Linked DNA regions of Sus scrofa. The protein of the gene in region 6 interacts with the protein of the main gene of each other region in a pairwise test. Links are inferred from orthologs where the notes say so. Each region holds a gene or a part of one and is shown on either strand. Other genes may lie near its edges.

What was found.
Region 1: the proteins of EGFR (region 6) and UBE2V2 interact in a protein complementation assay, tested with the Homo sapiens proteins (2 studies listed by BioGRID and IntAct). The link is inferred for Sus scrofa from reciprocal best matches to the Homo sapiens genes EGFR and UBE2V2.
Region 2: the proteins of EGFR (region 6) and ANKS1A interact in binary tests that used the Homo sapiens proteins (3 or more experiments, as listed by UniProt). The link is inferred for Sus scrofa from reciprocal best matches to the Homo sapiens genes EGFR and ANKS1A.
Region 3: the proteins of EGFR (region 6) and SPCS2 interact in a protein complementation assay, tested with the Homo sapiens proteins (2 studies listed by BioGRID and IntAct). The link is inferred for Sus scrofa from reciprocal best matches to the Homo sapiens genes EGFR and SPCS2.
Region 4: the proteins of EGFR (region 6) and ARRB2 interact in a protein complementation assay, tested with the Homo sapiens proteins (3 studies listed by BioGRID and IntAct, with this or other methods). The link is inferred for Sus scrofa from reciprocal best matches to the Homo sapiens genes EGFR and ARRB2.
Region 5: the proteins of EGFR (region 6) and YWHAQ interact in binary tests that used the Homo sapiens proteins (3 or more experiments, as listed by UniProt). The link is inferred for Sus scrofa from reciprocal best matches to the Homo sapiens genes EGFR and YWHAQ.
Region 7: the proteins of EGFR (region 6) and CSRP1 interact in a protein complementation assay, tested with the Homo sapiens proteins (2 studies listed by BioGRID and IntAct). The link is inferred for Sus scrofa from reciprocal best matches to the Homo sapiens genes EGFR and CSRP1.

What each region holds. Positions count from the first base shown.
Region 1 is NC_010446.5:79,621,366-79,625,428, reverse strand, and holds part of UBE2V2 (ubiquitin-conjugating enzyme E2 variant 2), read left to right. Parts: intron 1-3,193; coding exon 3,194-3,340; 3' UTR 3,341-4,063. UniProt on the Homo sapiens protein: Has no ubiquitin ligase activity on its own. The UBE2V2/UBE2N heterodimer catalyzes the synthesis of non-canonical poly-ubiquitin chains that are linked through 'Lys-63'. This type of poly-ubiquitination does not lead to protein degradation by the proteasome.
Region 2 is NC_010449.5:30,927,675-30,931,737, reverse strand, and holds part of ANKS1A (ankyrin repeat and SAM domain-containing protein 1A), read right to left. Parts: intron 2,977-4,063; coding exon 2,387-2,976; intron 1-2,386. UniProt on the Homo sapiens protein: Regulator of different signaling pathways. Regulates EPHA8 receptor tyrosine kinase signaling to control cell migration and neurite retraction.
Region 3 is NC_010451.4:9,278,913-9,283,626, reverse strand, and holds the start of SPCS2 (signal peptidase complex subunit 2), read right to left. Parts: upstream 3,111-4,714; 5' UTR 2,962-3,110; coding exon 2,665-2,961; intron 1-2,664. UniProt on the Homo sapiens protein: Component of the signal peptidase complex (SPC) which catalyzes the cleavage of N-terminal signal sequences from nascent proteins as they are translocated into the lumen of the endoplasmic reticulum.
Region 4 is NC_010454.4:52,161,184-52,164,790, forward strand, and holds the end of ARRB2 (beta-arrestin-2), read right to left. Parts: coding exon 3,537-3,607; intron 3,341-3,536; coding exon 2,931-3,340; intron 2,651-2,930; coding exon 2,513-2,650; intron 1,827-2,512; coding exon 1,743-1,826; intron 1,665-1,742; coding exon 1,585-1,664; intron 1,508-1,584; coding exon of another isoform or gene 1,472-1,507; coding exon 1,417-1,471; intron 1,148-1,416; coding exon 1,054-1,147; 3' UTR 593-1,053; downstream 1-592. UniProt on the Homo sapiens protein: Functions in regulating agonist-mediated G-protein coupled receptor (GPCR) signaling by mediating both receptor desensitization and resensitization processes.
Region 5 is NC_010445.4:126,737,181-126,741,679, reverse strand, and holds the start of YWHAQ (14-3-3 protein theta), read right to left. Parts: upstream 2,886-4,499; 5' UTR 2,731-2,885; intron 2,336-2,730; 5' UTR 2,272-2,335; coding exon 1,978-2,271; intron 1-1,977. UniProt on the Homo sapiens protein: Adapter protein implicated in the regulation of a large spectrum of both general and specialized signaling pathways. Binds to a large number of partners, usually by recognition of a phosphoserine or phosphothreonine motif.
Region 6 is NC_010451.4:139,434,589-139,438,651, reverse strand, and holds part of EGFR (epidermal growth factor receptor precursor), read right to left. Parts: intron 3,482-4,063; coding exon 3,391-3,481; intron 1,401-3,390; coding exon 1,201-1,400; intron 446-1,200; coding exon 313-445; intron 1-312. UniProt on the Homo sapiens protein: Receptor tyrosine kinase binding ligands of the EGF family and activating several signaling cascades to convert extracellular cues into appropriate cellular responses.
Region 7 is NC_010452.4:23,860,778-23,865,360, forward strand, and holds the start of CSRP1 (cysteine and glycine-rich protein 1), read right to left. Parts: upstream 3,244-4,583; 5' UTR 2,928-3,243; intron 1-2,927. UniProt on the Homo sapiens protein: Could play a role in neuronal development.

The DNA.
Region 1 (4,063 bases), on a different chromosome or scaffold from region 6:
TCCCAGCGCTGCTCTGTGGGTGTTAGTGTTTGTGCATACACCTTCAGGGGACATGGACACGCAGTCCATAACAGCTGCCTACCACCATGTGATGCACACACAGTTTCATTAAGCACTTTGGCTTTTGTTATCGAGTTCTAAGAGTTCTTTACTGAAAAAGAGCCCTTATTGAATATTTGATTTGCATGGATTTTCTTTCATCCTGTGGGTTGTCTTGTCTTTTTCCTTTTTTTCTTTATTTTTGGGGCCACGCCTGTGGCACATGGAAGCTCCCAGACTAGGGGTTGAATTGGAGCTGTAGCTTCCAGCCTTCGCCACGGCAGCAATGGGTCTGAGTTGCATCTGTGACCTACATTGCAGCTCTCGGCAACGCTGGATCCTTTAACTGCTGTGCTACACAGGAACTCCCAAGTCTCTTTGTTTTCTTGATATTTTCAGCACAAAACTTAAAACGTTTTTAAATATCCAGTTTCTCTCCTTTTTCTTTTGTTTGAAGTATTTAGGTGTTATATCTAAGAAATTACTGTCAAATCTGGGGTCTTACAGATTTAATTCTGTTTCCTTTTTAGAGGTTTATTGCTTTGGCTGTTAGTTTATGTCAGTGATCCATTTTAAGTTAATGTTTGCGTATGGTGTGAGTTAAGGGCCCAGCTTCATTCCTTTGCTCATGGATGTCCAGTCGTCCCAGCACTATTTGTTGAAGAGACTGTCTTTTCTCCATGGTTGGCACTCTGTTCAGATATTTGACCGTATATGCATGGATTTACTTCTGGGCTCTCAGTCGTATTCCATTGATCTGTATGTCCATTCCTATGTATGTGCCACCCTTCTTGATTACTGCAGCTTTGCAGTAAGCTTTGAAAGAACTTTGTTTTTTCATGTTGTTTTGGGTGTTCTGGATTCCTTGCATTTCCATATGAATTTTAGGATCAGCTTGTCTGGTTCTGCAGGAAAAAAAGGCAGTTGAGATTTTGATAGGGATTGTGTGAATGCTGTAGATCAATGTGCAGAGTATTGTCATCTTAACAACATGAAGTCTTCTGACCCATGTCCATGGAGGTCCATCCATTTATTTTGGGCTTTGATATGTCAACAGTATTTTACAGTGTTCAGCCTACATATCCTACACTTCTTTGAATCTATACCTATGTATTACATCGTTTCTTATCCTATTGTAAGTGGGTATTTTATTTTCAGCTCGTTCATTGCAAGTATACAGACAAGGTTTTGTGTATGGACCCTGCATCCTGCAGCCTTGCTGTAGCTTAACACTCTAGTAGTTTCTTCACTGGTCATGTCATCTGCATGTAGAGGCGGGTTTACATCTTTCTATTCAGTACCTCCTGTGTCATTTTCTTGCCTGATTACTGGTTAGAACCTCCAGCTCAGTGTTGATGGAATAGCAGTGTTGGCAGCCACAGCCTTGTCTTGTTCCTTATCTTAGAGGAAAAATGCTCCATCTTCCTCGTTGAGTGTGATGTTAGCTGTGTATTTGTTATAGATGCTCCTTATCGGGTTGATATACCTAATTTACCGAGTGTTTTTATCATGAAAGATTCTTCGGTTTTGTTAAATGCTTTTTTGTGTCTAAGATAATCATGGTTTTTGTTCTTTGTTCTCTTAATTATTACATTGATTTTTATTTTTTTATTTTTATTTTTTTATGGTCGCATGCACAGCATAGGGAAGTTCCTGTGCCAGGAATGAAATCTGAGCTATACCTGCGGCAACCCTAGATCCTTAACCTGCTGCACTACTGCAGGAACTCCTGATTGATTTTTATATATTGAACTAACCTTGCACTTTGGGATAAATTCCACTTGGTTACGGTGCATAATCAGATTTATTATATGTTACTCAAGACCAACTGTAGGTAAGAGTTTATGGCTTTCTCAGGTCTTTTGAGCCTGAGTACAGGCTCTTTTAGATTCACAAGCCTTTGCTGGAACATTTCAAAGCCCTTGTGGATGTCTCATTTGCCAGATTTTCCTGGGAAGTTTTTGATCACCTTCCTGCTTGCCCTCTCATGGCCTCCTCAGGCAGCAGAGGTGTTAAACAATTAAAAAAAAATTTTTTTTGGCCACTTTCACGCATGCAGAGATTCCCAGGCTAGGGATTGAACCTGCGGTGCAGCTGCAACCAGAGCCACAACAGTGACAAGCCGATCCCCAACTTGCTAAGCCACAGGGAATTCCCTCAAATTTTTAGTTTTTGTTGAAGTATAGTTGACTTAGAATATTATGTTTGTTTCAGATGTACAACATAGTGATTCAGTATTTTTATAAATTACACCCCATTTAAAGTTATTACAAAATAACGGCTTTTTTCCTGTGCTGTACAACATATCCTTGCTGCTTATTTGTTTTCTCCATAGTAGTTGTTTCTCTGAGTTGTTAAACGATTGGCATTGGTTATTTTTGACAAATGCCAGGGTGGAGGTGTGTGGTCCTCAGTGAGTGAGTTCTGAAGTCAGACAAGGAGAAACCTTGTCTCTGGGGTTTTCCAGGGAACTGTCAGACTGGCTGAGTGACGGCAGGTACTTGGGAGGGAGGTATTGCAGGCGCTCCGGCCCCACCTTCTCAGGTTCCCACCATGGAGGACTCAGTACAGTTTGGAGTGTGCACTGGGGAGAGATTGCAGGCTGAATTTGGGTTCAAAGCTCTTTCCTAGATCCTAGAGGAGGTTTGCTCAGACTTAGGGTGGTAGTATTGGAAATGGAAAAGAGCCGTCTGACCTTACCTCATGGAGAAGGAATTGTTACATATGTTTACAGTGTAGTTATGCCATTTATTTCTGAGGACCAAAGTGCCCTTGGTGTTCACAGAAAAGCACCACACAAAAAAGGACACAGGGAGTTCCCGTCGTGGCGCAGTGGTTAACTAATCCGACTAGGAACCATGAGGTTGTGGGTTCGGTCCCTGCCCTTGCTCAGTGGGTTAACGATCCGGCGTTGCCGTGAGCTGTGGTGTAGGTTGCAGACGCGGCTCGGATCCCGAGTTGCTGTGGCTCTGGCGTAGGCCGGAGGCTACAGCTCCGATTGGACCCCTAGCCTGGGAACCTCCATATGCTGCGGGAGCGGCCCAAAGAAATAGCAAAAAGACAAAAAATAAAATAAAATAAAATATGTCTAGTAAATTGGTGCCAAAGTACTTTGAACTTGGTAGTTAATTTTACTCTTTCCGCCCCTTTTCAGGTGGATGCACGGAGCATACCAGTGTTAGCAAAATGGCAAAATTCATATAGCATTAAAGTTGTACTTCAGGAGCTAAGACGTCTAATGATGTCCAAAGAAAATATGAAGCTGCCACAGCCACCAGAAGGACAAACATACAACAATTAATTTTAGTGGATCTGAAACTTGTCTTAAATCAACAACCTTCTACTCATGTTAATGTCTTGATCAAATATCACGATGCAAAATACCCACACATGAAGATAATTCCAGCTGGTGAACATGACCTGGACATTTGTAAGACTATATTTAATATATGTACACCCAGTATGTTTTCGGGTAGCAGGAGGAATATGCAGCACATTTTTCTTTCTTGCTAAGGCACTGTCATTTAAGCCTAACCTGGAGTACTCAAAACAGAGCTCAGGTTTACACGTGAAAGCATGGCAAGAAGTGTCAGAGGGCTGTGGAAGCAGGTGTGTTTCTGAAAAGGAGAAAATCTCAAGAGGGAAGAACTGAAGGGGCGTGCTGTGTCCATCTTGCTTAGTGAAAGAGCTTCGGTTGAAATTGTCTAAAGTAGCAGGTACAATGAATATTGTCACAAAATGTGTTAATTTTTGAAGCGGTATGGGTGCTGACTACTAGTAGTATCAAAAATATGTTCAGGATTGTTTTGATACCTGTATTTATAATAAAAAATGTCGTGGGGGAAGTGGCTGAACTTCTGTTACAAGCTGTTCCTGTGTGTTCCATGTAACAGACGTGGTAAATATTTGTTTACAGTCTTTGTTGGACAAACCATGCATTTATGTTTAAGTGAAATCAACAAAAAGGAAATAGGTGTATGGATATGTGATTTTGAGATTAAAGTTAGTCTTAAATTGTAAATAA
Region 2 (4,063 bases), on a different chromosome or scaffold from region 6:
GCCGCCCAGGTCCCTGGAGCCTTCCTCTTCCTTCCAGGCCCCAAGGTCAAGAGCTGAGCTAGGCCCAAGCTCCTTCACTATAGGCCCGTCTACATCCTGGGGATCTTTGGAGGACAAAGGGAAAAAATGGTCAAGCACAAGACAGAGGCAAAGCAGCCTTCAGGCACAGGGCAGGGGCGGGGGTGGGGGCGGGGAGCGGCTACTAAGACCCTGCTTTAGGGAAATCTGCTCAACCTTGTGTTTAGGGCCCACCAGTGGGGGAAACTCTTCAGCGAGAGATATCCACAAAACCTAGTACATATGACTCAGAAACAATGCTGAAGGATTACACCTAAAGGGCTCCGTTAATGTTTACTATGCAAGCAAAGATTGATCCTCTGAATTCTTTCCAGTAAGACCTCAATTGCCTTTAGCTTTTTCAAATTTAAACTAAAACAGTGCTTCTGGCAGTCAGCCACAGGACAGCCTGGCCCAGGACACCTAGACCTCCAACAGTCCTGGGTTCACTGTAGCCACCGGCAATCTCTACCCGCAAAGGAAGTCTCGGCCTGTGAACCTCCTCTCACTAAGATGCCAAGAGACCACTGACGAACCAGCCCAACTTCGACCAAGCAGGGCTGTGCCTTGGTGATTTCATGTTTCCTTTGCAGGAGGACATGGTGGAGCCCACACCGTAGCGTGGCAATGCAGCATGACGCCCTACCGACCTCCTGGGGTACAGGATGGGCTCAGGACAGAGCCATTCATTAGACTGGGAAGGCTATCCTCTATCCAGCCCATTTGAAGGATTCTGACACACTGTGTTGACCGCAAATCAAAGACTCACTTCTCAGCCTCAGTTCAAGATCCTCTCACTGTCTGGTCCAATCTCACTTTCTGCCTGGATTTCTTATTCTCTTAAACACCACACTCTATAGAAACCAATGATCTAAACTCTCCCTGCTCCATGCCTTTGCTCATGCTGTTCTCTTCACCTCAATGCCCTTTCTGCACCCCAGCAGCTTCAATCCGGTTCTCTAATTCAATGTCTCTGTGACCTTTCCCGAAACCCCGCTCCACCCTCTCAGACCCCAGGTCTCTGCCCACCCAACCCCGCTGAGAGTCTTCTCTATTGACCCCCTCTGCCATGTGAGAGAGGACTGTGTTTATCTTACACTTAAGCTGCCTTATCCTACGCTTGGCTATAAGTTAGTACAACTCTGTATTGAAAAACAGGTGGAGCTCACCTTCCTACAAACACCCACCATGCTCTCCCAGGGCCCAGGAGCTCTGAGTGCAAAGCAACCTTCCTTAAGCAGCCTACCATCTGGCAGAGGCTTGCCAACCTAAACAGTGAAAACCTTCTATTGTACAGGATTTTCCTGTCCCTGTCCCTGGCCAAACAGAGTCCTGAGCCTCATCTTATCTGGAGATGAGTGCTTTAGGAATTGCCCCCATCCTATTCCCACTGGGAATGGGATTAGCTTTGGTTTATGTAACTTTGCAGCTGCGACCTGAATGAGCAGGGCAGGGCACTTAGCCTGGGATTGTTCAAATGGATATGTCAGCTGCGGTGGTCCCCTCCTCTCTGAGAGCTAAATTCATCTCTTGCAAACGTTCTAGGGAGACAGTCCAATTCAAAGTCAGCCTTCTCCTGGCCAGAAGCCTGCAAGGGTAGTCCTGTAACATTCCTCGGGTGTTTACCAATCTGTGAGAGACACATTCTTCTGCTCGTGTCACAGGTCACTGAAAAAACATTCGGACACATATATCTAACTATTCTCTAACAATGGTTATGAAAGGAACCTGGACCTCAGACTCCAAACGTTTTCTCCTCACTCATCTCTCTGTCCTGACTGCCCAGCCCCTGCCCTGCCAAGCTGGATGTGGGATGGGCAGGACGCTTCTGCCAGGAGAACATGCAATCTTCCGGGGAAACACAGCAAGAGGAATCATGGAGCAGCGGGAAACAACACTCTCCCTCTGATCCCCTTTCAGCAGCTTCTCCCAAGGCCCTCCCCTAGCCTGCCCAGCTCTCCTCTTCCTCCTGCAGGCCCTCAGGAGGTGTTCCAGCTTTCCCGAAGCATCTTCAGCATGAGCCCGGCTCCCACAGTGGGCTGACGGGATCCAAATATTTCCAAGCAGCATGTCATTCCTAGGAAGTGCCCCTCCCTGGGCCCTGCTCTGCTGGGGCCCCCACCCTACAGATTAACCAAGAGTGGACCTGTCTTCCGCCAGCCAGGCAGGAAGAGCCCCTGCCATGGATCCCTGGGGCCTGCCCCCCTCACGGCCGTCAGAAACACTCTGGTCTCCATGAGGAGGAGCCAGGAGACCCTGGCCCACGTCTTGGTCCCAGGAGTGGGCGCACAGCAGAGCCCGGGGGGCTTGGCCTGTCCCGTGGTCTTACCTCATCCCACTCCGAGGCAAAGGAAGGCGACTTCTCCAGCCTCTTCTTGCCGATGCTGCAGTTGGATAAGGACTCGCTCCGGCTCCCCATCGTCGCGTCCTCTGTGGGTGAGCAGGTCAGCAGATCAGAGTCAGACTTGGACAAGCTGCGGCTGAGTTTGAGCTCCGCTTTGGGTCTGCTGGTGGGAGGGGCTCGGCTTCTGGCCCCGCTCCGGTCTCCTTCTTCCTCGGCACCGCCAGGGCGCGTTGATGCCGTGCGAGGCAGAGTTTCGGGATGTGTCTGGCGGTGGGTGGTGGGCAGACTCGTGGGGTAGCCCGCTCTCTTGCTCTGGTCCAGCACACGGGCCGGGGAGGCCCCGGCAGCAGGCACGCCCGTCTCCTCCAGCTGCATGCTGGCCCCGGGGCAGGCGCCCTGTGCGGGGGACCCTTCTGAATGGCTCTGGCCAGGGGCTGAGAGCAGCTGGAAAGGGTCCTGCCCCACCTCGCACACGGGGGAGGAGCCGTGGAGGAGACCTGAGAACTGCTCAGGGACCTGCCCGTCCTGGCCCTCCGCAGAGTCCTGGCTCCGGCTGCCGCTGCTCCGCCTGCGGTCTTGGAGTGGACGGAGAGACAGAGAAACACAAAATTAAACGTGGCAAAAATCAACAAAGTTCCAACGCAGCGAGCGTACAGCTGGCCGAGCAGAGGAATTCAGAGGCAGAGGGAAAAGAGAGGCTGGACAGGCTGGGGAGAGGCAGGGGGAGAGAAGAGGACAGAGGAAGGAAGAAAACAGTTTCATATTGTTCTTAATGTCCAATTTGTGCCCAAAGTCAGAGATTTATGAAATTCCAAACACTGGCCTGATAAACGCTAACTGGCAGCGCTCTCGCTGTTAGATTTCTGTTAACGTTAAGGACTAGACCTTGCTATAAAAGGCGAGAAGAGGTGCTAACTGCATCCTCCACAAGTGAGGGGAGAGAGAGTGAGTTCAAAGCGAGAGAGAGAAAGTGAGAGAGGGAGGGGGCGGGAGGGCGCCAGCCAGCAAGCACGAGGCGCGAGACTCACTCCTGGAACATCTGATACATTTCCATGAAGGCCAAGTGGTATTTAGAGCCGCCCGCCCGCCCTCCCTTCCTCTGGCAAGCGGCACCAGAGAGAAAAAAAATGGAAGTCATGGTCCACAACCTGCGCTTCTGGAATTCCTTAACCCAATGTGCAAAACAAAACAGAGAGAAACAACTGCTTCCTTCCTCAGACGGGGGCGATTCCAAGTTCCACGCCTCATCCTTCCTTCCTCAGGGAGCACAGGCTTCTCTCTCTTTTTTTTTTTTTGGAGAATGTGCACATCTCACTCCTTTCAAAGCCTCCCAGCTGCTCCTATTTGTTTAAGTTTAACTTTAGTTGATCCACTGAAATCAAAATGGTCTGATCTGTCAGTGCCAAGAGACACGTGCAGTTCTCTCAGGCCATCCTCATCTCCCAGCTACCACTGTCCCCTCATCCAAGGTATCAAACGCCTCTGCCCTGAACAAGCATAAATAACTGACCAAATCAGAGTCCAACATCAGTATCACCCCGGGACACCCAAGGGCTCGCTGTGCATTGACTCCCAGACCCACTAGAGATTTAAACCCACGTCAGCAGGCTAGGTAACAACCCTGCATCCAGCACGAGCACACACTCCAACAAGACTAATAAT
Region 3 (4,714 bases), about 130 Mb from region 6:
CTTCAGAGGAAGAACTCAATTCAAGGCTGAAATGAAGTTTTCCAAGAAAAAGCACCTCAACAGCTGCTGACTTATTTTCTCTCTCCTGGGCCCCTCACTTCCTGGTCAATTCTTTTTTTTTTCGGTCTTTTTAGGGCCATACAAGCAGCACATGAAGGTTCCCAGGCTAGGGACTGAATCAGAGCTGTAGCCACTGGCCTACACCACAGCTCACAGCAACGTCGAATCCTTAACCCACTGAGTGAGGCCAGGAATTGAATCTGCGTCCTCGTGGATACTAGTCAGATTCGCTTCCTCTGAGCCATGATGGGAACTCCATCCAAGGCCACGTAGTTTTTAACATGCTGTACTAGAACTCAAACTTGTCTTTCTTTTTATCTAAACCCTATATACTAGTATACCCTATATACCTTTTTTTTTTTTTTTTTTTTTTTTTTTTTTTGCTTTCTACGGCCACAGCTGTGGCATATGGAGGTTCCCAGGCCAGGGGCTGGAACTCCAGAATACTTCTAATTTCTCCCACTCTAAACTATTGGAATAATTTTTCTAAAACCACTATCTATAGATATATGCTATCTATATAATGGTTTTAGAAAAACTATTCATATACTATATGTATATAGTGGTTTTAGAAAAACGATTGACACTCTATTATATGTATATATATGTGTATACATACACACACACACATATACATATGGCTTAAAACCCTTCAACAACTTCCTATGCCTACTTCAAGCAATACATCCCCTCCTCCATCTGGTTTTATCTACTTGCCACTACAGGTCTCTTAGAGAACAGTCAGTCAACTCATTACCTAAGAAACACCAAGCATGAGGCACCCACCATGGACCTTTGCTCAAGGACAATCCTCCCTGGTAGGCAGTATGTCCCTGTCTCTCTCAAAATAAGGTCACAGCTCCACTCTCAAACATGAGGTCTTTCCTTGGGGGCAGTCACTCCCTCATCAGTTAGATCTTAGGGATCATTCTCTCTCTAACTTCTGTAAAAGGAACAGATGTAAATACCAAATACTTTTTTTTTCCCTTTCTTTTTTCGCTGCCCTGTGGCATATGGAGTTCCCAGGCCAGGGATCAGATTTGAGTCGCAGTTGCAGCAACACCAGATCCTTAACCCACAGTGCCTGGCCAGGGATTGAACCTATGTCCAGTGCTCCCAAGAGGCCACCGATTCTGTCATGCCACAGCAGGAACTACCCAAACACTTCTGTTTAATATTTTGGGTACCCCATGTCCTATATGCAGCTATATTGCGTACTGATTTCTTTTGTCTGCCATCATGCTTCTCTGTTAGATACTACAAGTTATAGACATCTTTCACCTGTATTATCTCATTTGATTCTCCCCCAAATCCTAATATTTCAGGTGAAGAAAGGGAAGCTTAGTGAGGTTAACTGACTTGTCAGTCTTCATACAGTTTGAAACTAGCAGAGCTATGTCAAAGCCCAAATCTTATGATTCCCCAAATCCAGGTTCTTCCAATAATGCACCAATGCCGTATACTTTTCAGTAATCACTGCCTTTGAAGACTGTCCACACTTCATGTTTGCCTACCATGTGTTACACACAGAGAAGTCTGAAAGCTGTTTTCAATTAAAGTAAACAATCCTGATTTTTCACTCTATTAAAATAAAGACCCCCTGTGTAACATTCCTTATCAAACTGGCCCAGGGCCCTAAAATGAGAGAATTGGAAGGAACCTTAGGGTGGATGAAGACTAACTCCCTCATTTTACAAATGAGGAAACAAGACACAGGGAAAACAAGCATATTTCAAGGTCACACAGCTAATTAGACGCAGGCCCAGTACTAGGACCCAGATCTCTACACAATTGTTACTTTCAAAATGCTATGCAAAGGGCAGGAAGGGCCTACCCCGAGAAGAAGTTTCCTTTTTTTTTTTTTTTTTTAATTTTTTTTTTTTTAAGCCCTTGTTGCTAAGACTGCATTTAAAAAAGAATAAAGCAAGAAAGAGAGAAACAGAGAAAGACTGGATGGGCGGGGCGGGGGGAGAGAAGAGTGAACAGGCAGCAAGCTCAAGAATCTGATTCACCTAAGGCACTTGGTGGCAGGAAGAGAGGGGAAAGGGTAGGGGGTTGGGTGAAAAAGGCGAGAGAAAAAAGATAAATCTTAAAAGCTTCCTGTCAGCATGTAGGTCAAGTTCAGTATTCGGGGTATCACAACAAAACGCCTAGAAACTTTAGTAAGCAAAAGGCCAAAGGCACTCTAGAATCAGTAGCAAAACTCAAGTGTGGCGGGGAGTTTGGACACCACTGACTTCAAACAGCTGCCTTCATTTAGTCGAGATTCAGCTTTCCCTGTCGGTGAAACGGGCACACTGAACAGTGGCCCCGAGTACCACCGAGGAAAAGCGAGGGCCGCAGGAAATGTGGAAATAATCAAATTATCCTAAGTAGCAGCAGTGGCCGAGGTTAAGGACCAAAAAGGAATGAAGTCCTAAAGAGGAGAGAGCCCGAGTCTGAGGTGCGTAGAGAGCTGAATACAAGGGCCCGTAGGGTCCCCGAGGTGGGCCAAACGAGGACTCCCCTAGAGAAGCCGCATAAGAAAAGGGGGGAGAGGATGGTGGGCTCGCCGCCTCCCAGGAGTCCCCAGGCCTCGGCTGTCCCCAAAATCCGACTCCTCACCTTGTCCAACAAGCCGCTACGGCTACTGCCCGTCCCGCAGCTGGGACCGCCGCCAGCCCCACTACTGCCTCCGCCACCACCGGATCTCCCACCCTGAGCAGCCGCCGCCGCCATCTTTCCTGCCTGTGCGTCTCCCTCCCCTCCTACTTGTCCGAAGCTGATTGGCTGGAACTGGCGGCGTGGCGTGCCGCGCGGAGTACATCGGGACCCGTAGTTCAGGGCTGGCTGACGCGAGGTTGCCAGCGGAAGTGGCCGCGGGGCTTGCTGGGACTTGTAGTAATCAGAAGCTCCAGCCATCGGTTGCCGCCTACTCGGCCAGCCAACGCGTCGCGGTTACTAAGGGTTGGAGAAGGTAGTGGTAAGCGCCACCGTGGAGCTACTCCGAGATCCCCGGGAGGCTCGCCGAGCTGCCCGCCTGACCGGGACGTCGCCCCCGCGGAAACCTCGGAGGCGGAAGCGACGCCGGAGGCAGGTGCGGCTGGAAACTTAGTTTCATATGTAGAGTTTCCCAAAGAAGCGAAGGAGCTTGTCTTTAATCCTTTTCTACCCCTGTTACTGCCCTTACCGGTTCTTTGGTGACTGTCATCTTAGCTGTTAGTATTGTTTTCGTATTTTAGGGAACTCACATTCATTGTCTTCTATCTGCATTTGTAGCCATGCTCTCATTTAGTCCCGTAACAGACCAGTCAGAGGAGGATACTAAGAAACTTAAGGCCAGAGAGCATGTATCAGAACCTAGTTTAGAAGCCGGGTTTTTTTGTTTTGTTTTGTTTTTGTTTTTTACATCAAACCCGTGTTATACTCCCTTTGCCATTGACTGGGGTCCTTGAACCCTCTAATCAATAGAAAATGGTAAGAGGCCAGATGAGAAATTCAGGTGAGGCTTTATTGGGACTCCTGCTTTAATGCTATGGAGCAAAAATAAGAAACAGGTGCTCCCTGAGGGAAGGAGGCAAGCTGGTCCCTTAAATGAGATGAAAGAAGGGGAGGAAGGGATGGCTCAGGTGGTCTGCCTACTGCCTTGGTGGTGCTGGGATTATGCCCAGTACCCTCCTCACTCTTGGCACCTCAGAAGTGGCAGTTGGCTTATGGCCTTTTTGTGTTTTATTGTTCATAATTTGCCTCAACTGTGCTTGCATGCAATTATGTTTTGTTCCTTCTTGTTTCTTTGTATTTTGTTGCTCAAGGCGATGTCTGTCCAGGTGCAGGCACTCCAGTAAAGGATCCCAGATCCCAGCCTAACTCACCTTTGCCACTCTGCTTTTACAGCTTTAGGACACAATAATATTATAGATTTTTATTGCTTTTGTTTACACAAGTATTTGTTGAGCACCAACATCACTGGAAACTGTACCGAGGAATCCTAGGGGATCCTGTCCCCTACTTTCATGGAACTCCTACTCTAATGACCTAGAGTTATCATATAACAGGTCTTAATACACTATGATTTAGTACACTGCATTATTAGTTGTTTGTTTTGTCCCCATGAATTCCTCATATGTGTCCAAATGACTGAACAAATGGAGTACATACTCTGGAGTGGTCACTGTTCTGGTCATGAGGGACAGATCGCTGAGTAACAGGCAAAATACCTGTTTTCATGAAGCCAACACTCATGTGGTCATCATTATTACTAAAGTACTAGGTGCAATTTCTTCACTTCTGTGAAGCAATCCAGTCAGATGCCCCTGTAGCTTTTTGTTCATCTTTTATAATTTATTGTGTTTCAAAACCCAGTTCTAATGTCACTTGCCCTGTGAAACCTTCCCTGACCCTTACTTCGCCCCTCTTTGCAGGCAGGATGAAGAGCTCCATAGATAGCATTGTGGGCACGATTCCATTTAGTTCAGTAAACAATCACTTGAGCCTCTTCAATGCACCAGACCCTGTATGAGACACTGGGGATAAAGATATAGGTAGGACCCAGGCCTGGCACAGTGCCTCCATTAAGAGGTGAGCTGGGAGCTCCCATTGTGGCTTAGCAGTAACAAACCCGACTAGTATCCATGAGGACACAGGTTCGATCCCTGGCCTCTCAGTGGGTTAAAGA
Region 4 (3,607 bases), on a different chromosome or scaffold from region 6:
GCCTCTGGGAGTCCCTGATGAACTAGAGGAGCAGCGTAGGACGTAGTGTCTTGGACTTGTCCACAGCAGCACCACTGCCTTCGGCTGCCCAGAGCTTTGGCTTCTGTGTGCAGTCTAAGGACCAGGCTCCTGGGAGGTGTCTGCCAGGTGGCTTCTGCCGCTGAGGCCCGCAGCTGCGGTTCCACCAAGCCCCAGGAATGGACCGCTTGATCGACCAGAAGGAGCAGTGGAAACAAACACTCGGTCACAAGTCACCACGCAGTCATGTGTGTCAGCCGCGACGGGGAAGGGCCTGCCCTGCCCAGTCCCAAGAGCATCCCATCTGCAGGAACGTGAGCTATTACTCCCTCTGTGAATGAATGAGTTTACTTTGTGGCTTACCACATTGTGCCCTTGAGTTTGGACTGACCACATCAAGTTTCCATGTTTACCGTGGAACTCAGGTACAGCTCAGCCATTCAGGAAACGTGTACTGACAGCCTGGGGGCCTGGTGACATGTGGGGACAGAGAAGGGATGGGGCACAATGGACAGTCGTGGACGAGCACACGAAGTCCTCCTTAAACGTGCCGTAGAAAACACACACACGCGCGTGCCTATTAAAAGGTTTATTTTCTTCTTTAGCCTCAGAAACAAAGTGGCCTTGCCCCCCAGAGGGTCTCATCCTGAAGGAATGGGAGGCAGAGGTGGTGACAGGCAGGGGTGTCGGGGTGAGGTTGAATGTGGGAGCTCGTCCTCCCCCTTTCCCTGCTGTCACGCCTCTCCAGTGGCCCCTCCACAAAACTTAGGTATGAACACAGCGTGCCACCCGCTGCGGGGTTGGGGAAGCCCAGCTGTCGTGGAAAGATTAATGCCCATGTTCCCCAAGAGATGGGTCCAGTGCGTCTCTGGTGGGGAGGGGGAGGCGGGCTGGTCGCGGCAGCCGCCCAGGGAGAGGGGAGGGCAGGGGAAGAGAGGCTGGAGCCCCCGGTGCCAGCGGGGTCTCGGTCCTGCCCCTCCCTCTCCCAGCACCATCCACTCCCTTCTGCCAGCCGCCCCCCGCTGCCGCCGCCGCCTAGCAGAACTGGTCTTCGCCGTCCTCGTCCTTCATCCCCTTCAGCCGGAGCCGGGCAAAGTCCTCGAACACGATGTCGTCGTCCGTGGCATAGCTTGGTGTGGAGGGAGGGGGTGAGGCGAGGGCTCCTGACCCTCTTCTCCACCCCCACCCCCCCAGAGACAGAGGCGTTAGAGCAGCAATGGGACTGGAGGTGTTGGCAGGAAGGGACCCGGAAGAGGTGGCCATGGGCAGCTCGCAAGGCTGCCTCATCTCGCTTGGATGCTTCGACCACCCCCCCCACAAGAGGAAAAAATGGGTAGATGTGAATGTAAGGCATCTCCGACCAAGGGGCGTCAGAGCTGGGGCCGAGGCGTGTCTTACTTGGTATCAAATTCAATGAGGTTGGTGTCCACCGGGACGTCTGTTTCTGGCGCAGCTGAGGGGAGAAGGAAGGAGGGGGGGTGGGTGGGTGCTGAAAGGACCCGCCTTGTCTCCACTGGCCCTGCTTCGGGCCCGCTCTCTGGGGGCTGGGGCGGGTGGCAGGCTCACCTGACTGGGGTCTGGGGAGGGTGATGTGCTCCTGGGGCTTGGGGTGCATGAGAACAAAAGGCAGCTCCACGGAGACATCTCTGAGGGGGGGGAGAGGCGGCATGAAGAGAGGCCCGTGCAGAGCCCCCGACCCCCAGGCTCCCACCCGCAGCACTCACCCGCCTCGAGACACCACCAGCTTCACCTTGACCCTGTAGGACACGAGGATTCCCAGCACCTCCTTGTTGGCACCCTCCTTCACGCTGCGGGGGGGAGGCGGGGGGGGGAGTTGGACCAGAGCCCACGGCCTCCTCGCACCCTAGCCCACCCTGGGGGCCTCCACGGGGATTCTGAGCAGGAATCCCCGGCTCCAGCAGCACGGGCTGTTGCCGTGTAACGTACCCCATCCATCTTCGTCTCGCTCTCTCGGTCACAGCCCACGTCCTTGGGACCCATCAGCCCTGCACTGACCTGCTTTCCCTCAGCCCTCTGACCGCACCTCCTGCTCCCACGCTGGCCTGCCGTGTGTGGTCAGGCACAGGGCGCAGGGCCCGGGGGTGAAATCCGCCCCCACTCTGTGCAGCTGTACCTGCTCCAAAGACAGGGGCCCTCTCGCCTGACACCTCTGCAGCCCTGCTGCCTTTGTGTCCTTACTCCAAGTCGCCTCTGGATTTTGCCTTTTCTGGCCACCCTCTGTAAAGTCACCCCCCCCTTGATACCTCCCTTCTCTGCCTGCCTTTTTCTCAACAGCTGGCACTAAACATGCTGTATATTTTGCCATTTATCTGGTTTGCCTGGCCTCCTCCCTGAGAACGTAAGAGATCTTTTGGGTCTGTTCTGCTCCCTGATGGGGCCGTGGCCCCGGGGACAGAGCCTGGCACACGGCTGGCACGGAATGAGTGTCTCCTGTGCTGTAGGACCCCCCACCCCCACCCCCTCGTCCCCTCACATGGTGCTGGACGCCAGGTTGGTGTCCTCATGCTTGAGCTTCCCGTCCAGGGCGAGACCGCGCTTCTCTCGGTTGTTGCTGAGCAGGGGGGTTATGGTGTACACCTTACAGAACGTGGAACTGGGCGACACCTGGTCACTGGGGCAGGGGGACACGAGAAGGAAACTCTGGGAAGGGCCAGGCGGGCGGAGGGGGTGGCTCCCACCCCCAAGCGGCTTCTGCCCCATCACCGGCCCCTTCTCCCTTTGGCCTTGGGTCACGGGCTCAACCCGCTCCAGAACATGAGCGGCTCAGAGCCCCCAACGGGAGGGAATGTGCTTGGAAGCGGAGACAGCGGGGAAGGACTCCCGCCTTCCTCACACTCCGGGGCCCCTCTTCCCCCCTGACCAGGGGGACCCAGGGCTCTTCTGCTACTCACTCTTGTTCGAGCTGAGCCACGGGGCACTTGTACTGGGCCGTGCTGAAGAGGCAGATGTCCGCGTACTGTCTCACTGTGGGGCGGGGCCAAGCAGCTCTGCATGGAGTGTAGACAGCAGCCCACCCAACTCCAGCCCGCGCCCCCCCCCCCCGCAAGGACCCCAGGTCCTGGCCCTTTAGCATCCCTGCCTGAGGACATGTGCCCCCCACCCCCCCATCCTGGGACAGCCTGCATTCCTTGAGCCCCCCGGGGTCTCCAGCCCTGGGGTATGTCCTGTGGCTGAAACTCCCTCCCTTCAGGCAATTTTCCAACCCCCACCTCCTACCAGAGACTTTGATCTTCTTGACAGTCTTGGTGGAGTTGTTGGTGACGTGGACGTTGACATTGAGGGGCTCCCCATGGTAGTACAGCTTTTGGGGGGAAAGTTAATTGATGTCTCTTCACTGGTCCTGTTATTACTGCGCCCCCACCTCCCGCAAACACACACCCAGTGCTGGGCCTCCTCCATCTAAAGCCAAGCCCACCCCTGCAAGGAAGGCAGCCTCCTTTAGAAGCGCCCCTCCCCAGGGTCTGGCCTGCACTGCAGCACCCTGTCGCCCCCCCCACCTCCTTGTCCAGGGACGCCTCGAGGTGCAGGGACCGGTCAGACATGAGGAAGTGGCGTGTGGTTTCAGCTG
Region 5 (4,499 bases), on a different chromosome or scaffold from region 6:
GTCATAACTTAGTTTCTTCAGCCATTTTACCAATAAAAATATTTTACTTATATTTTGGTGTCTAATTAATCTAGTCTTTTATTTCACTTAGTGAGCGTGTGTGTGTACACATATGAATATTTCATATAAACCTGTCCTAATTGCAGCGGTTCTCTTCCGCTGAAATGATGTCCGAGAAAAGTCTCCTGAATATACTTGGTCTCTCAAGTCGCTTTTCGAGTAAGCAAACTCTCCTCCACTCATGCCATCAAAAAAACGAAAATTTGTAAGAGCCACAAAAATAAAACAAATATTCCCGGCTACCTTGCTAGAGAATAGCAAAAATTCTGTGGTACTCCTGGATTGCTGCAGGGTAAGTAACAAAGTGCAAAGTAAAGACAGAATAGAAAAAGATGGAAATATGCTGTGGGAGTGCCCCAAAGTAACACGGACCTAAAAAAGCTTGTCCTTGACACAGGCATCCTGATGCATCTTCCTTGACAACAGAGAAGATGCTCTCAAGAGCCATTACCATACGCACTGAAGCCCACCACCACTTTCAAGACAGCAAAATTTTTTTGAATATAAGCAATTCAGGGCAGAAAGTTTCTCTGAGTGCCTCCTTTACAGCAGGCAGGGAATGGCAGCTAAGACATAGATGACCCTAAAATCTCACCCACATAAAGCCAATAACCTCAACAGAAGTTTCCTCCACTCTGTACACTCTCTGCATTGCTTTCTTTGCCCCTTTACCAGCTTTCTCCACCAGCCACGATTTTGTTCAGATCATCTGCTATTGGTGTTGAAAAAATAGGTGAAAGGAAAAAAAAAAACAACAAAAAACAAACCTCCTGCCCCACCAATTCGATGGGGCAAGGAAGAGAAGATTGGGACAAGAGGAATGTCCCCCTCTATTCCATCTTGAAATATCGCCAATCTAGCATGACTGTCTTTCAAAGGCCACCTAAAATACTACATGGAACGAATACATCAAAAATCGCCAAGGCCCCCTGTAAACGTGGCCCATAAGAAAAGAGGCAAATGCATCAGATGTTTCATTATTTTATTAGTAGAAATGACTCTTTGCAGTATCAAAACACTTAAAAACACTCCAGAAGATAATGCTGGCATTGAGATTTTAAAAACTTATCTTACCGATCGAAAGACCCATACAATGACAAAGCTAAAAACGTTCTCTCTCACTAATAAGAGTGAATCACAGCAGGCACCCTACTCCACCCAACAGCCACCCACGCTAAGACTGGACAGTTCAAAACCTGCAAAGTCCTCCTTGCCTCCTCCACACCAGATACGAATTCACTTCAACACATTCGTGTTTCAGCGTAGCTATGTCATAGCAAGGAAACGCTGTCAGGTACTGAAATTTGGCAGGACATTCGATTTAGCGGTGCTCTTTTCACTTTTACCAAATTCCCCCCTTTCCCCGTTTTTAACAAGGAAAAAGCTCAACAGATACTCTTGCTTGAAAAATGAAGCACCCATTCAGATTTTCGTAAAGTTCCACGACTAGGTTTGGAAAGAAAACCAAGCCTTGCTCACACACGTATCGAACAGGAGCCCGGCACCTTCTTTCAAAGGAAGCCTGACGCCTATGAATTGATTAACTACATTTAAAGGGTTCCCAGGTTTCCTCTGTAAGCTTGAACACGATGCTCAGTCTTGTACAAACCCACTCGCGTGTTTCAAAGTTACAATGGTGGGGAAGCAACCCAGCATCTAAGAAAAACCTACTTACCACTGGGGCGGGGAGAAGCAGCTTCTGGATCTCAAGAACTGAAATAACACAGCGAGCAGGCCAAGGCTATAACCTCCTCAAACCCTCGACGTCGGCAGACAATCGGGAAAGGCCCGGCCCGACTCGGTCCCCGTGAAATTCTCAAGGGAGGGCCTTACACAAAGGGGCCCCGGCGCCCCGGGACGCACGGCTCCCCGGCTCCCGCCGCCCGGCCTCCCGCCCCCGGAGGGTCGCACACTCACCAGGACCGTGGTGCAGATGGACCGCAGCTCGGACTCCACTTTCTCCCGATAGTCCTTAATCAGCTGCAACTTCTTGTCGGAGGTGTCGGTCTTCTGCTCGATGCTCGAGATGACCCTCCAGGCGGACCTGCGGCCCCCGACCACGTTCTTGTAGGCCACCGAGAGCAGGTTGCGCTCCTCGTTGGACAGCTCGGCGCCCTGCTCCGTCACGGCCTTCATGCAGGTGGCCATGTCGTCGTAGCGCTCGGCCTGCTCGGCCAGCTTCGCCTTCTGGATCAGCTCCGTCTTCTCCATGGGGCCGGGGACAGGGCAGCGAGGGCGAGCACCGACCCGGACAGCGAGCAGGCGTGCGGCGGGCCTGCGGGAGGGCGGGGGCAGGAGGGCGGGGGCGGCGCCGTCAGACAATGCGCCCGCCGCCCGGCCGCCCGCCCGCGGCGCCTTTTGTCTGTCCCCGCACGCGCGGCCCAGTTGAATTTCCCTCCCCCGCCCACGCTCCCCACGGGGCGCCCGGGAGGCCCGGGGGGCGCCCGCCCAGGCGGCCCCGGGCGGGAGAAGGAGGAGGAGGAGGAAGGGCCGCTCCCGCGCCCGCCCGGCCCAAGATGGAAGCGGCCGTTGGCCCGCACCTTCCCGCCGGAGCCGCCCCTGAGGAGAGCGGCGTCGAGGCCAGCGGCCGCTCCCCCCGGGGCTGGCCTCCCGCCCGGCTCTCAGGCCCGGCCAGGCCCGAGGAAGGCCGGGGGCGACCCTGGCGCTCACCTTCACGTCTCCGCGGCCGCGGCGCGAGTCCCACCACTTTGATCGGCTTTTGGCTTTAGCCGAGGACCCTCCCGTCTCAGCCTACCTCGGAGCCGAGAGGCGGGCCGCCGCGCGGCTGCCCTCGCTCCCGCCGCCCAATGGCGCGCCGAGAGGTCCCCTAGGGTCCCGCCTCCCGCTCCGCCTCTGGCCAATGAGCACTGAGCGCGCGGAAGGGGGCGAAGGGGGCGGGGCGGGAGGGGAAGCGGAGGCTAGGAGGGTGGGTCGGCTTGGGCAAGTTCGGTTGGCTCGCAGGCTGCGGCTTCGGCCACGGGGTTTCCTCCAATTAGATCCAGGGTAAAAGGACGTCACTGTTGCCATGGCGATGCTGTTACCAACTCCCCTCATCCTCCCCGCCACCCCCAGCCCTCGTGGGTGCGGCACGGGAGCGGGCGGTTCGCACGACCTCTCCTGCAGTGGCCGGGTCTCCTGCTGCAGCACCGCTGCAGATGGGGCATTGCATCTTGTGGGCTAATTAATGCAGCTGCGGCTCTCCTGAGCCCCGGTGAGGTCGGGCCTGGGAGGGTGATACCATCGGCTGTTTGTTGCACAAATGCCTTTCTTTCCTCCACCTTCCTATTCGTGACAAACGTTTGAAGCTCAGTACACAGAACCCAGCCTTTAATGACGTTGCGATGGGGACTGCGAATTAGATATAATCCCATCCCCATTAAAGAGGAATTCGTTTCTGGAGAAAGCGGCTTAAGCAAGGGTCTTACACGAGAAATTCATTTTCAGACGGGTACCTAAACCCTGAAGTTCCCTTGGAAAATACCAAAAAAAAAGTCCAGACAGGTCTCTCTGGCGATGCCAGATGTTGCGATTTTCTTTAAAATGGGAAATGACATGATTAAGGATAATCTGAAGAAACACACTCTTCCCCCAACTGTTTTTATATTTCTTTTCAGCATTCCCAGGTCATGTGTCTAAATTCATATTTTTCCCATCATTGTGGTCTTACATGTACATGCTTTTTATTTTCTGGTATTAATTTTGAAAGGACGCTTGCAAAGCTCAACTTCCCTCTCTAGATGTTGACTTCTGACTTTCTCCTTGTGAACACCCTTCTGGCATGAGAATGATCTGCCCAAATGCCTTTTATCCAGGGTCATGGCTATCCCTTTCCTTTCGCTTCAAACTGGGCACTCCCCTCCAGCCACTCCCTTCTCTCCTGGCACTCCCTGAATAAGGTGCTGTCCTGAGTGTCTGGGCTCAGGCTACCATGATTCCAGGTCCAGCCCAACACAGGGAAAATGGATCATTGAAAGTGAAGAAAGCCACTGCTGAGAAAGAATTTCAGATTCCAAGTAGAGCCTGGAACAGACTTGAAGACTCTAGAATGGAAGATCTGAGGGCCAACAGATGGCCGGAGAAGGTTTGGACTTTCCAGAAATCTAAACTCCCTCCCAGCTGCCCCTCCCAGTCCTGACTCGCAAAGGTTGCTTTGTGCTTTGACCGACAGGAGAGGCCTGGGCTGGAAAGAGCTTGTGTGTGTCTTAAAGCAGAAATACCTTACTATGTTTCAGCATTTTAGTGGAGAGCCCTGCTGTTATTTCTGGAATCCCCGGGGCTGGATCCCCGGGGCTGGGCTGTAGACGGATGAGTGTTTATGGCCGTGTGGGCTGGGGTGGAGCCGAACACCAAGAAATCCCAGTGGAAAGAATTTGTATGTGGAAGGGCAGATAAAATGCTTTCTGTATGACCGGTGAATTTCAAGCTTACTGAAAGGAGAG
Region 6 (4,063 bases):
CGCGGCTCGGATCCTACGTGGCTGTGGCTGTGGCGTAGACGGGCAGCTACAGCTCTGATTAGACCCCTAGCCTGGGAACCTCCATATGCCCCAGGAACGGCACTAGAAAAAGGCAAAAAGACCAAAAAAAAAAAAAAAAAAATCTTGTCTTTTTTTTTTTTCTTTGGCCGTGCCCTCAGCATGTGGAAAGTCCCAGGCCAGTGATTCAACCAGCACCAGAGCAACAACACTGGATCCTTAACCCACTGTGCACAGGAGAAATCCTTATACTCATTTTTCATCAAAACAAAGGGATCAGACGAAGCCTCTTACCCCTCCAGAACGTTGCACTTCTCCACACATTCCTTGCCGCGGCTAAAGTTTCGACAGGACATGCAGTCTCTGGGTTCAGGGCCCCAGCAGCCCTCTGATGAGCACAGCGGGTTACAGATGTGGCCCATGGCTTCTGCAAAGACAGGGGCAGCCCCACAAGTCAGCCAGGAGCATCGGCCACAGGGGCCTGTGGGTGCGGGGCACACACACTGCTGGGCCCCCAAAGCAGCAGTGACCTAATAGGGCTTCGGGGTGGGGTGGGGGGCTCTGCCAGGGGCTGAAGGTTCCCAGAGGCTCATCAGAGCTGACGAGCCCCGGGAGGGTGCACAGGGGCGCAGAGCCAGAGCACTGGGGGTGGGAGTCACTGTTCTCTCCATTGCACGGGGAGGAAGCCAAGGCCCCGAGACCTCAGTACACTGGCGAGGAAGGGCTGGAGCAGGACATAAGCAAGGGGCCGCTTTCGCCAATGGCCAAGGTCTCGTGCAGAGGGCAATGGTGCAGGCCCAGCCTCAGGAGCCAACTCCGCCTGTGAGTGCGTGTGTGTGTGTGTGTGTGTGTGTGTGTGTGTGTGGCTAGCTACAGTCACCATGGACAAAATGAGCAGAGGGAACGCACAGCTAAAATACAACACGACCAACACTAAATTTAGTTCTGCGCATTACCAATAACACTAGCCCGGACTTTGAGGCAGGTTCATCCTATGGAATGAGAAGGATCTGGAAAGAATTCTGATGAACTTCACAATTAAGAATGTCCAGATTTCTTTTCACTTGCTTCTCTGGGGATGTAAAAGTCATTTAAATGTTTGAGAATGGCCCCTCGATATTCTAAATCAAGACGAATGACCCACTGGAACCCTGTCCACAGTCAACCAGAGTGGTTACTCACTGCACTCTTTTTCGCTCCTGTTGTTTATAATTTTGGTTTTCTGACTTGCGGTCCCAAATAGTTTTTTCCAGCTGATTGTATTTGCATAGCACAGGTTTCGGTTTCCTGAGACGATCACGTCTCCGTCGCTGATCTCCTTGAGGGAGCGCAGCCCCAAGGACGCTATGTCCAGGCCAACAACCGCGAGGGAAAACTGACCACTGAGGTGGAGAGAGGAGAGCAAACACGGAGGACAATTAGCACAACAGAGCGTCACCAAGGCGCCGTTCTCTGCACCACTGCGGGTTTACTACAGACGCCCTCCAGGAAGCACGTCATGCCGCAGGCAGGTACAAGGCAACTTCGGAGAATTCCGAGTGTTTTTTAAGCTTCTCCGGGGAAAAGCTAGTTCCTAGTTCATTTCGTGTCTCTAATCCCAGTGGTAGTCTGAGGGCTGAAGAAGTGTCTTAATGTCATTATTTTATTTACTGCTTTTTGATTTTGCCTGTGAATTGAGAATGTGTTCTAATTGCTAAAACATCCAGGAGTTCCCGACATGGCGCAGTGGAAGCGAATCCTACTGGTATCCATGAGGATGTGAGTTCGATCCTTGGCCTTACTCAGTGGGTTAAGGATCTGGAGTTGCCGTGAGCTGTGGTGTAGGTCACAGATGTGGCTCAGATCCTATGTTGCTGTGGCTGTGGTGTAGGCCGATGGCTACAGCTCCAAGACCCCTAGCCCAGGAACCTCCATAAGCCGCGGGTACGGCCCTAAAAAGCAAAAAAAAAAAAAAAAAAAATCCAAATACACTTCAAATGATGATAGATTCATCCGCTCACACATCCACCCATCCATTTATAAGGCAAAGATACTGAGGCAACATGTGGCCCATCCTGTCTGCCTCTGGGTTAAGTGCACGTCTGCTCCTCTCAAAACCCCTCTGTCTAGTGATGGCGCATTCACCTGGGCAAATACCTGCAACCCAGCACCAGGGGTGGTGACGAGGGCTCCACAGAGGCGGGGCAGGTCTGATGAGGGAGCCCGGGAGAGGGGCCCAGGACCAGGAGCTGGCAGGTTCTCCTCATCCCCAGCCCCGTGCCAGGGTCCTGACAGTGATCAGCACGGGCCCCTGAGTTCCCGGACACGTCACTCAGACTAAAGGGAGGGAAGCCCCTGGACGCAGGAGGCAGGAAGGCACACGAGAGCCAAGAGCTCCCGCTGGGGCGGGAACGCGGAGGCGGGAGCCCCAGGAACAGGGCCTGTGAGGGGCAGGGACGCCGCGTGGAGGAGCCTGGGGTCTGCAGGGAGCAACCACAGGAAGGGGTTGCATTTTTAGGAAGCCCGCCAGCCACCAAGAGCTGCACACCAGTCACCCAAGAAAGTCGACCAAAGCGCTCGTCTCTGCATGAACTTTGGCCAGTGAAGTATTTCTGAGAACTCGGAGCAAAGGCGCCTCTCTGGGAAACGCCATGAGCTGCTTGTTTAGCATCAGAGACGCAAAGCTGAGACAGTTTTTGGAAAGCAGTGCTTATTTTACGTGTATCATCTTCCAATTTTCTGAGTGTTGCATAATGTTCTGCTGTCCAGTTAGGAGTCAATGATGGAAAGCTGTTCTCGGAACCAGGCTATTTCCAAGGCAAATTTGAACAAGAGTGCAAACTTCTCCTCACCACAAACCCATCACTACCTTTATTACGTTAAAGATGCATGTGCGCGCGCACGTGTGTGTGCGCGCACGCGCACGTATTTCACAGGTGGAGCTAGAAAAGTGGAAATCCTGAAAGAAACTCTCAGTTGCTAAAAAGCTTCTCAGTTCCACCTAAAATGACGCGCTGATAAGGAAGGACATGTCACCCCAGGCTGTTCTTGGCAAAAGTGTGAAACCTCAACTGAATCAGAAGAAAACATCGGCCATTCCAGAAACGCCTCACCAGTACTTGAGGGACAAGGCCGACAGCGGACCTGTCACTGACTGCAGAGGACCTGTCACTGACTGCATGACAGCCCCATGCAGTGGGGGACACGGGCTGACACAGAACACACAGGCACTCATGGAAAAACTGGTGAGATGCTAGAAAGTCTGCATTTGGGTTACTGCTGATTTGTGCCAAGGGGACGCAGGGTGTCACCCTCCAGGGAGCTGGGGAAACTCGCTGTGAGCTTTATTTCAAAATAAAGTAAGAAAGAACCTACCAGCTGAGATCTACTTACTGTTGCTTCGTCCTGCCACGTATGATTTCCAGGTTCTCAAAAGCATGGAGGCCAGTCCTGTTTTCAGGCCAGGCCTGAATCAGTAAAAACCCTGTAAGGCAGGAGAAAGATGCAGGCCATTTAGCAATTCCCTTTTCCTAAGAAACACTGTCACAGGATTCTCGGGAGGCTGTCCAGGAGCAGACGGCGAATGTTTTGTTCTCCTCATCCTCCTCACTAAGCACTTGCAGACACACACACACACACACACACACACACACACACAGAGCCACACGCACCAGGCACCCTTTACAACAAGCCCCCTGCTGCCCTGGGCTAGAGCCCGACTCGCCCCGCAGGCTGTACCCACGGTGGGAGCTCCCCTCTTGAGACCCCAAACAGGCCGCTGCTCTCTAAGGCAGGGGCCAGTTCTGAGCTTTAGCGCCACAAGGAGACTGACGTGAAATCTCTATCTGGTTCCAATTCTCAAGCCAATCCTGTTATAAAGTCCAGTTACACCTTTTTTAGGGATGAAGAAAGTGGAGCTGCCGGGCCCCGGGCCCAAGGCCGGTGTTGGGGCAGGACAGGACACGTGTCTCTGGGCTGGGAGCCCGCAGCAGCTCAGTGCCTGGCCCTCCGCCCTCCATCCCGGGCTGTTGACCGGCCACCTGGGCTGGGCGCTGAGACCTCGCAC
Region 7 (4,583 bases), on a different chromosome or scaffold from region 6:
CCCGTCTAGCCACAGCTTGCTCTGTGTGTGTGTGTGTGTGTGTGTGTGTGTGTGTGTGTGTGTGTGTGTGTGTCTTTTCCTCAAGCGGGCTCTCTTTCAGACTTCCTTTACTTGCAAACCTGACACCAAAATTCAGACGCATGTCAGACGTGGTGAAAGCCTCTTCCCTGGGACCCCACCCCCACCCCCGGCCACGCAGCAGAAGAAAGACCTAGAAGTCGTTGGGTCTAACCTGACTCCATCCCCATTCCCACTGGCAAAGCCACATCTTCCTTAAGTAGTTTATTTATTTACTTATTTTTGTCTTTTGTCCTTTTAGGGCCGCACCCGCAGTATATGGAGGTTCCCAGGCGAGGGGTCAAATGAGAGCTGCAGCCACAGCTCACAGCCACGCCAGATCTGAGCAGAATCTGCAACCGACACCACAGCTCACAGCCACACCAGGTCCTTAACCCACCGAGCAAGGCCAGGGATCGAACCCACAACCTCATGGATCCTAGTCGGATTCGTTTCCGCTGCGCCACAACGGGAATTCCATCTTAAGTAGTTTATAAGCCTCAGTAAAGCGCTTTCATAAGTGGCGGATATTTCCTTAGCAAGTTGCCTCTGAAATAGGAAACGCAGAGGAGCGTGATAACATGGTAACTGAGTGTGGCTTTTGGAAGGTGTTTGCCTGGGTCTGAATGGCAGCTGAAACCTCTGAGCCTCAGTTTCTTTGTCTGTGAAATGGGGAGTACCCATCCCCACCCCGTACAGATAACATGAGAAGGAAGCAGGCCAGACCCTGGGGCACAGCTGGTGCGGACACCTGCCACTGTTCTCCCGGGGAAGGGCGGCTCTAACGCTGCCCAGTTTTCTGTCTCCTTCCTTATCTGCCAACAGGTCTGAGTAGTGGCAAAGGGCAACCTTTCTTCTCTCGAGCGCCTCAAAATATTTAATGCAAGATCCCTCTGTCTTCTTTAAGTCAACTTTTCATAAGAGGCCGGCTTACAAAAATATTTCAACTTTGGCAGCCTCTCAAGAAAGCCTCCCCAGTTTGCCTTCCCACCAGGAGACCCACGGTAAATAGAAAGGGTGTCACTTTTCCCCCACCTGGTCCTCAATCCCACTCACAGGGAGCAACCAGCGAGTAACCCTTGCCAGATTCACTGGCATGCATGGCAGTTCAGCCCAGAGCCCAGCCCCATCCTGTCCATTCACCAAATTTGTACGGATCACCCACCAAGTGCCAGCACACAGCCCCTGGGGCCAGGGAGGACTCCCAAGCTCCTGAAGGGCAGATGTTTGCCATGAGAAAACACCCAGGCTGGAAGGCAGGTGCTCCTGCAGCCAGGGCCCAGCCCGGGGGGGCACTGCTGGCTCCCACCCAGAAGCAGAGGAGGTGGGCCCACCCTTCAGTTTCTCCCTTGTGTCTCCCAGGACCCTCTACGGGCAGCGCTGCCCGCCCACAACACACCCTCTGTGGGATAAACTTCCTTCTCTGCCTGCCTGTCCCCCCTCCCCCCGGATTTCCTCCCTGAGGCACAAGGTCACTCCCTGGGAGACCAAGAGCAGCCACAAGGATAGTCTCTCTCGCAAGAAGTGACCCTGCCGGCCCGCCCCCCCCACCCCCCGCAAGCACTTCAGCCCACCATGAACATCTGGAGGCCAGAGGTGAGCGCAGCAGTGAACACTCAGCACCTGGTCCCCAAATCCCTCAGGGAAGAAATTCCAGCCTGCCCTGAGAGGACAGCACCTCCAGCCTGCTGAGCTTCTGGGAGCAGTGGGGAGGCATGGGGTGGGGGGCTGGGGGGAGGCCAAGGAGAAGGGAGCCACTGTCCCCGCTGGGTTCCACGTCTGTGCAAGGCTCTCCCAGTGCCAACCCTACAGGAACTGAGCGTGAGAGGGAGGCGACCTGTTTAAGGCCACGGGTTCAGGATCAGGATCAGTTCCCCTTCCAACAACCTCTCACCGAGTGGGTTGCCGTGTTCACCAGAGCCGGGTGTACGGACCTCTGGGGGTAGGAGCCCAGGTGACGCCCTCTCAGCTGGGTGGGCCTAACCATCCACTCACACCCAGGGGCAGGGGTGCCCCCGCCTCCGGGGAGCTGAGCCACCCAGCCTCCTGCCTAGACCCAGATTTGATTAGATCACAACTGTTTGCAGAATTTGCACAACACTCTGGGGCCTGTGAGAGCAGATAAAACGCCTGCCTCGTGGTTGCTGGTGGGGCAATGGACTGCAACTTTCTCTAAGTGTGTTCCCCACTTCAGGGACTGAGGCCACCAAGCACTGTGGGTCCCTTCAGGCTCTGCGATGGTCCCCACTCCTTTAGACGAGCCGGCGGGGGCGGGAGTGAATGGGGCGCGCGCAGTGGGAGGTGGGGGGCAACTCCATCTAGTCTTTTGAAAAGAGTGAAACCAGCACCTGCGCTGCGCAGGGCAGGGCGCAGCTGCCACGGGCGGGCCCCCGAGGCCCGACGGTCCCCACCCTGCCCGCGGGCGCGTTCCCCCAGGGCAGAAGGGCGGGGGCTGCAAGAGGCTCCCACCCCCGCCGGACAACAAGCGTCAGTGCGCGCAGAATGGCCCATTGTTCCGCCTCGGGACCCGCAGGCGGTGGGGGGCGCCGGGCCGTCCCGGGACAGGGGCACGTGGGGGCCCTTTGTGTCCGGGGAACCCGGAGCGGGGAGGAGCCCCGCGCCTCCTGGAAAGAAACCCGCGCGGCCACTTGGCCCCACTCCTCGGCCTGCGCGGGCCCCGGCCGCCCGGTGTCGCGTCTACCCTCCCCTGCAGCCTCCCGAGAGGTGGCGGGACAAGAAGGCCGGGGGCGTCCAGCGCGCGCGGAGCCGGGGCGCGCAGAGGAGCCAGGGCGCTCGGGGGTAGGGGCGGAGGTTGCAGCGGAGCCCAGCGGGGTGGCCCAGAGGGGCTCGGCGAGACCCCGCGCACTCACCTGGCGGCGGTGGTGGCTGGGCTTTCGGTAGCGGCAGCGACAGCGGGCGGCGCTCTGGAAGCGGGGCTGGGCTCGTCCGGCCCGCGCGCCGTTTTGTTCCGCTCCCGGGGGGCGTGTCCCGGCCACGCCAACCAGTGGGCTTTGCACACTGCACCACACCAGCGCCGATGTCACCACACCGGGGCTGATGTCACCGCATCGGCGCTAAGGTCTTGGCGCAACCCCCCAACCCCCCAGCGGGGTCCCCAGGCCCGGGGCGACCCGGCTGCGCCCGGGGGACCCCCTGTGCCCCCGCCACGGAGGAAGCCGCGTCTCGCACGTGCCCGGAACTTCTCAGGGTTTCCTGGCGGCCGGATGCGAGAGGGTGGAGACACAAGTCTGAGAGCTAAGACTTCTGATAAAACCTGCGCCACAAGAGAAGGGGCGGGCGTGGATGGCGGTGGGGACGGTGGTGGGGTCTCACTTGTTCTGGCGGCAGGGTGGCAAGGACACATCTGAGCACCAGGGTAAGAGAGGCCTGAGTTCGGATCCCGCCCCTTCCGTGTACTAGCTGTTGCCCTGGCCTAGATTCCAAATCACCCCCCACCCCCGCCCACAGGCTCCGCATCTGTGAAGGAGCTGTAATCCACAGGGAAGGGGTGTGTTTTGGGGGGAGACGGGGCAGATCTTCTAAGCCTTCTACGCCCTCAGCAGTGGCCCTCGGTGAGTGTAACGCCCTCCTCCAGCAGCTCTTCCTTCTGGGCTTCCCCAATCTCCCCTGCTCTCCAAAGGAGGCTGCCCCACCCCTCCCCCAGAACAGCAGCTCTGAAAAGTGGGTGCCGCCCTCAGCAGCTCCCAGCCCTTCCTGTGCCTGCAGCAGCGGGCATCTCAGAGGTCAGAGCCGCCCGCTCCCTGCAGAGCTGTTCCTGGGTCAGGATAGAACCTCCACCTCTGTCCTGGGCAGAACAGCCCAGAAACCTGGGGCTCTGGAGGGAGAGGGAGTCACCCCCTGGCAGAGGGGTCCTGGTGGGGGGCAGAGCGAGCCCAGCTCTAAAGGAAGGTGCCGGAGTTCCCCTCGTGGCTCAGTGGTTAACAAATCCAACTAGGAACCATGAGGTGGCAGGTTCGATCCCTGGCCTTGCTCAGTGGGTTAAGGATCCGGCATTGCCGTGAGCTGTGGTGTGGGTAGCAGACGTGGCTCAGATCCCGCGTGGCTGTGGCTCTGGTGTAGGCCAGTGGCTACAGCTCCAATGAGACCCCTAGCCTGGGAAACTCCATATGCCACGGGAGTGGCCCTAGAAATGGCAAAAAGACGAGGAAAAAAAAAAAAGAAAAGAAAAAAATAAAAGAAGGTGCCATCTGCTCCCCCAAGTCCTGTTCGGAGGAACACGGAGACCTGAGAGAGACTGAGAACTTAGGGAGACAAAGCACTTCTTTGGGTCCGCGGTGTCGTAGCTCATTCACTGCATTTCCAGGTCGAATGGCACCCTTTGCACTGGGAGCACACCGAGTGGGGTGCAAACCACACTCAGACCTCGGCGCACATTTCGCTGTGCTGTGCCTGCTCCCCGGGTGCCCTGCTGTTTGCCCTCATGGGCTCCAGTGTCTCTGAGAAGGAAGCCTCCTCTCGCCCATGGCTGTGGCCCCGGGGGCAGGTCTTGGAGGGCTGCTGGGCAG